Linked DNA regions of Arabidopsis thaliana. The protein of the gene in region 2 interacts with the protein of the main gene of each other region in a biochemical or structural test. Each region holds a gene or a part of one and is shown on either strand. Other genes may lie near its edges. The genes, in order: PARP2 and AT1G06760.

What was found.
Region 1: of the proteins of AT1G06760 (region 2) and PARP2, one has a biochemical effect on the other in vitro, tested with the Arabidopsis thaliana proteins (one study listed by BioGRID).

Annotation. Positions count from the first base shown.
Region 1 is NC_003075.7:1,047,981-1,054,894, reverse strand, and holds PARP2 (poly(ADP-ribose) polymerase), read right to left. Parts: upstream 5,130-6,914; 5' UTR 4,792-5,129; coding exon 4,708-4,791; exon of another isoform or gene 4,631-4,707; coding exon 4,369-4,630; intron 4,288-4,368; coding exon 4,142-4,287; intron 4,050-4,141; coding exon 3,968-4,049; intron 3,787-3,967; coding exon 3,551-3,786; intron 3,355-3,550; coding exon 3,225-3,354; intron 3,011-3,224; coding exon 2,955-3,010; intron 2,862-2,954; coding exon 2,788-2,861; intron 2,676-2,787; coding exon 2,629-2,675; intron 2,553-2,628; coding exon 2,503-2,552; intron 2,396-2,502; coding exon 2,333-2,395; intron 2,240-2,332; coding exon 2,159-2,239; intron 2,050-2,158; coding exon 1,939-2,049; intron 1,848-1,938; coding exon 1,772-1,847; intron 1,669-1,771; coding exon 1,526-1,668; intron 1,405-1,525; coding exon 1,331-1,404; intron 1,220-1,330; coding exon 1,114-1,219; intron 1,028-1,113; coding exon 935-1,027; 3' UTR 709-934; downstream 1-708. Other genes in the region: AT4G02400 (U3 ribonucleoprotein (Utp) family protein), read right to left, coding at 1-108, 386-652. UniProt on the Arabidopsis thaliana protein: Involved in the base excision repair (BER) pathway, by catalyzing the poly(ADP-ribosyl)ation of a limited number of acceptor proteins involved in chromatin architecture and in DNA metabolism.
Region 2 is NC_003070.9:2,075,872-2,079,890, forward strand, and holds AT1G06760 (winged-helix DNA-binding transcription factor family protein), read right to left. Parts: upstream 1,897-4,019; 5' UTR 1,746-1,896; coding exon 1,545-1,745; intron 1,440-1,544; coding exon 816-1,439; 3' UTR 633-815; downstream 1-632. Other genes in the region: AT1G06750 (P-loop containing nucleoside triphosphate hydrolases superfamily protein), read left to right, coding at 213-479; DRIP1 (DREB2A-interacting protein 1), read right to left, coding at 3,351-3,530, 3,641-3,713, 3,846-3,896, 4,006-4,019. UniProt on the Arabidopsis thaliana protein: Histones H1 are necessary for the condensation of nucleosome chains into higher-order structures.

The DNA.
Region 1 (6,914 bases), on a different chromosome or scaffold from region 2:
TCCAGTGAGACCTTGCAACATCCGTGTGTGTCTATCGTCATCACCTTCACCTTCCTCATTCTCGCTGTTTCCACCATCTTCATCATCATCTGACTCCACATTTTCATCCTATATTGAGATCATAGACACTTTTATCAATAAGACATACATATAACAAGGACAAAACAATTGCCAAGACCAGATCTAAAGTTACTATCTCATTACCAATCAATCAATTAAAAACTCTCAATTTTGGATTCACCAATTTGTTATAGCGTAAGAATCCCGATAGCAAAAACCCTAATTGAGCTAAAACCAAAATCTGTAGATTATCTTCTTATCACTAAAGTTCAAAACTTGCAATTTCACACAGTGGCGGAGAATTAGTGAAGAGAAAGAATAAAACCTCGAAATCCTCGGGAAGCTCGTAGTCGTAGTTATCGACGCGGTCATAGCGATTGTTTTTCTTAGACTCTTCCTCAGGCACACCTTCTTCATACTCATACAAATCGACGTTTTCATCGTCGGAATCGATCTCATCGTCATCTTCGTCAGAGTTCAAAGGACGTTTCTCATTGGCAATAGTCTTCAGGATTGAATTAGGCAAATGAGGACCTTTCCTCTTCTTGTTCTTAGCTAGGGTTTTCGAAGTAGATTTTCTCTTTTCTCCCATGGCTGCCTCTGCTTTTTTTTTTTTTTGCCGTTTAGTTTCCGATTGAGATTTTCGTAGGGTTTCTTCTCTTTCGCTTAAATACTAATAAAATCGAGTTTCAGAGAATAAGAATTTCTCAATCATACCAACTAAACCGGATAAAATTGGGTATGGTTTGCGGTTTAGCGTACCAATATACGAGTGAACCGTGCAAAATCAGAGATGAAGGAGTTTGAAAGAAATACAATAAAACGCTGATTTTTGGATAATTAGTTGATGTTCAAAAGCTAATATACATAAGTTTTAGTGCTTGTAGTTGAATTTGACTTGGATCACATAACGCATCTTGATTTGTTCCACATTGTAGACTATATATTCGTTGTACAACAACATCCCCTGCAAAAGTTATATAAAGTCAGTTTATGAAATTTGAGAGAGTTAGATTTTGTGAATGTGTGTTGAAGCAAGACAAAAACAAAAACCTTGGAGCATGAACGTTCCACTGGTTTGCCAAGTGGAACAACAACACCGTCTTCTAGTGTTTGAGCCTCTGATGGGTTTGGTGCTGTTTTCCCCACACCTTTTGTGCTGCAACCATCAAATAACAAATCAAGGTACAGTACAAAAATAGTAAATCATAATTCATTGCGGTTTGAGATAAGGAACTTGTGTGAAATATGAATGAGATTATCTTCATACCTTAGCTTTCCCGGGGGTAGATTATCCGCGTTATAATCTGAATACAGAAGTTCATTCATGTCTCCCAAAGCAACCTAGAGAAGTTTTTATCGTTAGGAAACATAAGGATAGTTATGTTGAATGGCTATAGAGGTCCTGTAGTTATACAGTAGTTTTGTTGTTTTCTATATGAATAGAGACAAGAAGCGAGTATACCTCGCAGAGGAGCAGAACGCCATCATTAGCGCCAGTGTTGGCATAGCAATAGTTCGCACTCTTGGAGAACATATCCGCAAAGTAAACCCCTTTTCCAAACATGTAACCAGTTACAGGCGCTTCAGGAGGAGCTATTCGCAGACCTGCTTGGTGTCTCATAGTTGTTCATTTTACTATGCAATTGAAAATCCCCCAAGAGGAGAAGAAAAAAAGTAGTTACTAAGAGGAAAAAGAGTAACATGTTACCTTGAGATAAAATACCAGCCCAGTTAGTGAGACGTGAACCGTGCCAGAGTAGCATCCTGTTCTTCGAACTTGAAAACTGCCAAGAAAAATTAAAGTCTCACAATGCCAAAAACGAGAAATCAGAATAATGTGTATGGTACTGACAAGCTCGAAATACCATAACATACCTGTTGGAATCGATCAGCTTCAACAGCTCTCGAAGCTCTAAATAGTTGAGCAATCTCAACCGTATATCCCGAATGCGTCTTTGCATGAGTGTTCTCCATGTAATTAGCAACCTGATTTTGGTTTTAAGGAGTAAACACCAAAAGGTTTAAAACACAGACATGTTTGAGATGCTCGAGTATCAAAGATATTTGTTCAAAGTTCACAAAACCGAAAATTTACCATAGAGAACTCCTCTGAATCATTTCCTACTGGCGTCAAACCACAATTAAGTTGCTGGTAGTGATAATATAAAGGATCATCCTACAGCCATTGCAAAAAATAATGTCATATTCTTAGAGAACTATACGACGGAGTGATTTCATGCCTTCAAACCACATAGACTGACTGAATTACCTGCAATCCCGGGTCGACGGACAACAACTTTGTTGCGAGTTCAATCTCACCTAATGCTTCAACCTTACAAAAAAACGATATATTAAAAACTACACAAAACATGTAGCGACAAACCATTGCTTTTCTGAAGACCAAAACTAGTCAAGTAAGGAAACAGTAGGAAAAATTACCATTTCAATTTTCTGTTTCAACTTTTGAGGAGTGTCTATAACAAACTGGCCTGTTACAGCTCGGAATTCAGATGTTAGTGAATGTTTAGTTATATATATCGTAAACCTTAGCACAGATGAACTTACTCATTTTCTTAAAACCAAAATCATGAGGTATCACTGTGTAGAACTCTCTGCATCAATGATAAACAAAGTTAGACTAGTTCAAATCTAATTTCTTTATGGGAAACAGTTACATAATCAACTAAATGCGAAAAATTGTCTAGCAATTAACCAGATACATACCCACTCAGTTCCTCAAGCCTCGTTCTATCATACCGATCAATCACCTCCGATATTCTCTTCAGCACTTCATAACCCTAGACATGTGGAAGAGGAGATTATATCATCTGAAATCACACCAAACTATAATTTACGGAAATGAGACCAAACAGACTGTTTACTATCTTTACCTTTGAAATTGTGGACTTGCTTATCTTGCCGAGTGGCAATTTGTTAGCGTTATATCCTTCAATTCCAAATTTAGAAGATGTATGAAAAATCAGCAAGAAGTAAAGAAACCAGCAAAATGGCAAACAAATGGATAGGACAAAAGATAGGAAGTACAAACGCAGGTAATAGGACACCAAAACAAAGAGATAATGTATCGACATATAAAAATCACTGTTAATCTGCCAATGGATGCTCTCACTTGAATGAAGTGATCAAAGTTAGACTCAAACCTATTTCCATCATATGCTGTGCCATCATGCTGACATTACATATAAGAGAGATGAACTTGGCAACCCGAGTATCTAGTTTTGATTGTTCAGGTTTAACTTCGGAAGATGAACTCGGAATATCATTATTGACCTGAGAAAAAAAACAATCGTGAACTCTGAGTAAAGTGCACATTTGAACGAAGAGAAAAAAAATATATAATTGCAATTAAACGGGAAAAAGAAAAGTAGATATGCACTCAAAAACCTCATTCCAGCAGATCCCTTGGATCATACCACACAACAAATAGTAAGAAGAGAAAGAGAAGTGAGGATTCCAAAACACTCACCGGTGAATCATTTTCCTCTTTTCCGTAATCCATTTCGAGCCATGTATAGGACTTGGGATGTGGGATAAACTCCTTTCTGTCAGACCAATAATTCTTTGTCTTGTCATTGAACTTATTGGTAAATATCTCTATCGCACGATCCCATGAGTCATAAGGCCCATCTAGCTTACTTTGTCCTTTCACACCAACTCTTCCCCATCTGGTGTAAACCATGTATGTCTTTTTACTATCCGACTCTGCACAATGCACAATAGATAAGATAGATCAATGATGATAGTATCTGGAACCAAGAAGAATGACAAAGAGTCATCAAAAGCTGCTTCAAGAGGTTTCCAGTACTCGAACAAGACAAGTATCGTCTCATTAATCTTGGAAAGTAACCAGGGAAATTATTGTTGAAGGTTTTGGAAGACTGACCTAGGACTTGTAGGACAAAGAACTTGTTATTATTATCCCTGACATTTGTCTGATTTAAGATAGCATCATAAACATCATCACCCTACAACATTCAACAAAAAAAGAAACAGTTTCTAACAACATTCATGAACACGATAAGATGCAAAAACTCAAGATTAGGTTCCAAATCCTCACCCTTTGTAGAACATGGTACTGACTCTTTATCTCATCAGGAATCCACTGATCTAACACCGCTGCACCCTTCTTTGTCGCGGTTACGATTTTCTCTTCTTTCTTTTCTTCTTCAAAGCCATTGTTGTCATCTTCAGCTTCATCTGTCCCTTAATACACAATGACAATAACAACATTAAAAAGACTCAATTTTTACCAAATTTCTCAATAGTCCAGAGAATTGAACAAACCATTACTGGATTTGACTGGTGCATTGGAAACGTTATTAGCATCATTGCAAAGCCTCTCAAGAAGATCCTTTTTGGTTCCTGTTGTATCTAAGCCTCTCTTAATAGCTTCCTCACGCAATTCCTTCACAATCATCCCACGAAATTCGCCAATTGCAATCAATTTGTTCGATTCATAAGTATCATTAGAAGAATTTCTTTTCCTCTTGCTCTTTGATTCTTCCTTCTTAGTGTCTTCTGCGATAGCCTCTTCAAGCCTCTCCACCTACACGAAACACCCAATAAACAAATTCGAATATCAACAAAATAGAAAGAGTATTTCAATGCAATTCAGAGAAATACCAGAACGGCTTTGACTCCAGTAGTACTGAGTCCACGCTCGGCGAGTTTTAAACGGAGTTCGTCGACTTTGAGCTTGTTCGCCATTTTCGTCTTCTTCTTCAGGAGAATAGTTCGTCGGAAAGGGAATGAGACTGAGGAAGTATGGTTTTCGTCAGAAGTGAGTTCGCGCGAGCATTTGAAGAGTCTTCTTCTTCGTTTTCTTCTTCATCGATGGCTTCCCTTGAAAGCTTTAGGGCTTTTTGAAAAATTATTTTAAATTTTTTTGACAAAAGTTCTCGTTCATATTTGTGGATATTTCCCATATAACTTTTTAATCTCCAAAAGACCCCAAACTTTTGGATTGATTCTTAAATCCACCCCTGACCTTTTTAAAATAGTATTTATTTCCTACCATTGATGATGGCAAGCAATAGAAAATCATGAAAGATAAAAAAAAAAAGGTTAAAAATCTAGTAACAGGCAAATACTTTGAAAAGGAGTTGAAATTTTGTACATAGGTTTAACTCTTCTATTAAAAGAAACAAAAAATCTCTATGTTTTAAAATGTACTACTAATTTATAATTTAAGAACATTTTTCTGAAAATTTTGCTGGTTGTTTAACGAAAAGAAAAATATACAAATAGTTTTTGGCTGTAATGCTACGCCACTACTCACTTTTCCAAGGACGTGCATACAAATTACCGTAAACGGATTATAGGACTTGTGTTGACTAATGACACAATTCTTTTTTATTAAAAGAGATTAGTCTCCTTGAAGAAAAAGGGACACAAATTATTCGTAACATGTTAATCAAACCAAGGTCTTAAGTGGCTACCAACCGCATACGAGTGTTGAGCCGAGCAGTGCTGTGTCGAGCCGGGCTGGATTTGGCATTTGGAATATATGAAATGGGCCAACAACCCAAAAGATAAAATTTCGTTACTTGGACAGTAAAAACTAAACATGCATGTTTATTAGCCCGTAATCTGCATAATCACAACTTACGAAGAAGACATAAGAATCAACAGGCCCATCATAAAGTGGGACTAACGATTTGGTTTCCACTATTATTTGGCCCATATATTGTTAATATTGTACACTTCAAATATTATTTAGTTAGAAAAAAAAAAAAAAAAACTCTTGTAAAACTGGATGGTTCTAGTTTAGTTTTAAAAAATGGTTAGATGATAACGATATTAATATACGATAAAGTTTATATAAAATATCTTTTCATAACCAAATTTACATGACAACTAACATTCGGGTAAGCCATGTAAAAGACGAGATAGAGATTTTGACCAAAGAAGAAAAGTAGAGAGAACATGCAAAAGCCAAAAAGAAAACATAGCCAAATGGTTGAGTGGTGTAGATGGACCGAACCAACAGACATGTTCTCAGTTCATATACCAACCGCCTAACATTACAGCCTGTCCCCATCCCCTATCTTTATTTTTCTTTTTGGCTCATTTAGCTTCAACTTTTTTTAATAGGTGTGATTAGAACATACTAAAAAAAACATATGTTTTAACTTATATTATATGAATAAAGTGTTGTTTTTAATAGTTTATATTTCTATTACAAGTACAATATATAGGATATTTTGGTTAACAATTTTAAATTTAAAAGATATTGTGAGTACAAATCATTAAGCTTAACACAAATGTTCATTGCTTCTTAATTCTTACAATCGGAAAATTTGGACAAAAAATCTAGACTAATCTCCAAAACATTGTGAAAAATTGGGGGTTTTTTTTATCATTTAAATTGTCTATAGTGGTCAATCATTATTAAAAAAAATTGTTTTTTGTTGAAATTTTAAATTATAAAAAAAAAACACGTTTATACATAAAATGCAAAAACTTTTCTTAAACCAAATTACAGAGAAAGGCTATCACCATCCTTGTCTTGATGCCAACCACACTTGTAATCCCAAAATACATACTTAAACTATACTATACTAACATGAATTGGTTATACGATTATCTATCTAGTTAGCTACATAATTCATATAATTAGTTTTTTAAAATATACTTATGTAATGATAGTAACTAAAAAATATACTATCTCGAGAAATCCAACCAAAATGCTATGATAGTATATAAAATAAAATGAAAGAAAGAGGAACCAAGTTGTGAAACCATTTACCAAGAAGAAGAAGAAAAAAACAAGATGGTCGAGTCTCGTGATAGTATGAAGCTGGGGCCGAAACCACGAATCAAAGAACCAT
Region 2 (4,019 bases):
AACAAAGAACTTAACCGATTTGAACAAGAGAAATTTCAAACTCTCGACCAATGCCTAAGCCAAGATCCTAGACCAACTTAGAAAGCCCCAACTCACCCCTAGGCTAGTTATAGTTCTCCTGCACTAAGAGTTAACAAGAACATCTTATCAATGGTGCATAGATAATAGTAGATAAGAAAAATACTAATAGGTGAAGTGTGATTGTGAAACAGCTGATAGGTTGGAAAGAAAAGGAAAAGACATTGCTAGTAGATACAGAAGAGATAGATTGTTTGAAGCGAGTAGGAGGGTTAAACGAGAACGCAGGCTCCATTTACGAGCTCTATAGACAACCCAACCCTGCTTGTGAAGCAGGTTCAATCTGGAAAGACATTGTTCTTTCACCTTCAAGGTTTAGCATTCAACAGGAACTCAAATATTCCATTCAGAAAGTTGAAAAAAGATCTAAACAACATCTCATCAACAACACCAAAAGCTGAAAATGGTAAACATAGAAAACAAGGGCAGAGTTGACAAGGAAGAACAGAAACTTGTTCATTGTATAACTTCAATGTTGTAAAAGTTTGTTGATTGTATAATAACATCCATGTTTACTATAACTCAACAAGAACAGCACTAGCCTGACACAAATTAGCTGCAAAGAAACTCGAGTTTGCTTCATTGATGAAATCTATATATGATTTAAGGGGTAGTCCAAAGGAACTGTGAATAACAAGAACACTGAAAGAAGAAAAGCAAACAAAGTCGCATAAAGATGATTGAATTATACAAGTCTAAACTATCGTTAACCATTCTTCTACCTACAAACCCTAACTTCACTTCTTAACCCTAGAAGAAGCCCTCTTTGCTGGAGACTTAACCGTCTTTGGCTTCACAACCTTCTTAACCGGAGTCTTCTTCTTTGTGGCCACCGTAGCAACTTTCTTCGTGGCAGCAACAGCTTTCTTAGCCGGAGATGTAACCTTGGCCGTTTTGGCTGCCTTGGCTGGTCTAGCCTTAGCCTTGGGCTTCGCATCAACAGCTTTCCTCTTAGTTGCAGCAGCAGTGGCACGAGGAACGGGCTTAGCCTTAGCCTTCGCGGTCACTTTCTTAGCAGCAGCAGTCTTAGGTTTAACGGCGATTGTTTTCTTAGCCTTGGAAGCCGCAGCGACCTTTCTCTTCGCCTTGGTAACCGCCACAGTCGCCGGTTTCTTCTTCGCAGGAGCAGATTTCTCCGCTGCCGCCTTAGGGGATGATGCTTTAGCCGACGCCGATGGGAGTTTAAACGAGGCTTTGACCTTCACAAGCTTCCCAGAAGCAACGAGTCTCTTCAGATTGAGAAGCAACAGCTTTCTGAATGTTGGAGGAAGCTCCTTACGCTTCTCCTCGATGAACTTCTGAATCGCGTATTGGCTAGATCCAGTTCTCTCTTTCAACGTAACAATCGCATCCTTAATCATCTGAAATCGCATCAACAAAGAACACAAAAATCAATTTCTAAATTCCAAAATCAGAATCCGGCTTAATAAGAAACACGAATAAACGAAATCGAATCTCATTTTTACCTCTTCGTAAGTAGGATGAGATGAAACAGTTCTCTTCTTCGGAGCGGCAGCAACAGTCTTCTTCTCCTTCACTTCCTTAACATTCTTCGTCTTTCGTCCTTTCGCTGCAGGCTTCTTCTCAACGGCCGCATCCGTCACCGGCGCATCCGCAGCGGTGTTTCCTTCGATCGTAGCAGCGTTCTCTATTTCCACCTCTGACATCGTCTTCTGAACTTAAGATCGGAAAATTTGATTGCAAGAAAGCGTAAATGTAATTTCGAAAGTGATTATGAGGATTGTGAAGAGGATCATTGGAAACGTCCGATTTATATAGTTAGATGTGTATTAGACGGCAATTCATATCTGGCTTCTGATTGGTTAAAACAATGACTACGCGGATCGCTACTCTTTTCTCAGGTTTGAATATTAATCGTTGGATCAAATTTTATCGACGGCAGAGAAAGAAGGAGTGTAGATGGTGGGATGAGTAAGTTAGTGGATGTGGATTAGATGCTTTGGTCATATTTGTTGTGCTTTTAGACTCGATTCATTTGACCATAACTCGTGATATACTCGATGAAATTCGTTTTTGTTTTTTGCATTGTGTAGAAAATTCTGTGAGGGTTCGTTTGATTATCTAAACGTGAAAAATGGATTATTTTGTAATGAGATATTCGGTTATGAAGCAAGATATGTCAAAACTATTGTTTTTCTTGCTAGTATTACAGTATATTTGGTTTTTCGAATAATGCTAAAGAGAATTTCGATGAAAATTATGTTAATATGAAACTTGACTAATCAAGGAGTGAACCGAACCAATAAACGTGGGATTTCAATTACTTTTTGATCCAAAATCATTTGAATGAATACTACCTAAGATGACCATCCTCTAGAATATGTTGCACACTACTTGTTGATGTGTCATGTGTCTATGTTAAAAAGAGTCCGGATTATTCATAGATTGTGATTTACTAGTTTAAGTATGTAATCAACCAATTTTAATTGATATTAAAACACATGTATAACTTTCCTTTAGTTATGATGCATAGATTACGTTTCTTAAGAGCAACACATGTACAAGGTCATCCGAGAGGCAATCTAGTCTAGGTGCAATCTCTTCAATGATTTTTTTTTGTTTTCTTTTGGATATCGTTAAGCATCATGGCTATATGTAAAGCATGAATTAAAAAGAATCTGTTAAATTGCATACTCGTAACATTTTTTGAACATCATAACAATTTGTTATATAAATATGTTACTCATATTAAGCATGATGGTTGTCACCACATAGTGGTACTCACGATAACACAAAATAGTGATAATGAACTTCATTCGTCTTTTGTCAGATAAGTTTTATGTAGTTAATTTGGTAGTTTTCTACCTCCATATAGGTCATCACAGTTCTACTACATTCGTCATCCACAGTCAACACTTGAACAGTAATTCTTGAAAACCTTAGTTTCCATAGAAATGATGTAGTACCCAAATAAATGCATATAAATCAATCTAAAACATCTTAAACTACAACATTTGATTAGAAAGTGACAACAATGTTACATGCAAGTCCAGAGAGGACACATAGTAGAAGAAGAAGAAAGAAAAGGGAAACAAATTTTGTATTTTCTTGCACAGAAAAGCGACTCATGAGTGTATATTTCGTCTATAGAAAAAAATATTAATACTAATTTCACAACACATTCGACTGCTCCTGTAGTTCTAGTAATGTTCTCTCTTGTAATGCTTTGAGAGATTCCATAAACCGAAAAGAAAAGATTACCCTGTCTCCACAGAATCTTCTTCTGCAACAACATGAGTCTTTAAAGTCCTTTACATGTTGCACTCTGGTAGCTTCCGAGCATAGACAAGAACCATCGTAAAATCCTTTGCAGAAGAACCTACCAATGCAGCAAACCGTTGGTGGTTTGAACTTTTCTGGAGCCATAGATCCACTAAATTGTAAAGCGTCAGCGTTGGGATCACCGCTTCTCCCATACACTTTATCTCTATCTGAACATAAACCATAAGTATGTCCATTTTTTATCAACCAAACATATAAGTTCCATTATATTCAAACGTTCTATCCTTTCTCGTGCCATAGTGCATATAAAGACCCTTACCTCATTTTCACTCTCGAGATCTAGCTTCCTCATGAGGTACTTTTGGATGAAAGAAACTGTTGTATTTCCATCCCTATCACAGAATGAGACATTGGATTATCTTCCCCAACAAAAGAATTCCTCATAACAGAAAAATGAGGGACTATGTAAGATGCAGCGACAACACAGGATATATAAAACAAAGAATACCTAAACTGTAACCTACCTTATTCTCAAAAAATTTGCTGGAATTTGAGGTAAAGAAGTTCCTCCTTCCCTGTAACCAGTAAGCCCTTGTCAATATACCAAGAGAAGAGAAACAAAATGAAGAAAGAGAGAAAGATCATGAAAGGAAATAGTTTCAGATATGAGAGCAAAAATCTCACTGATCATTGGACGC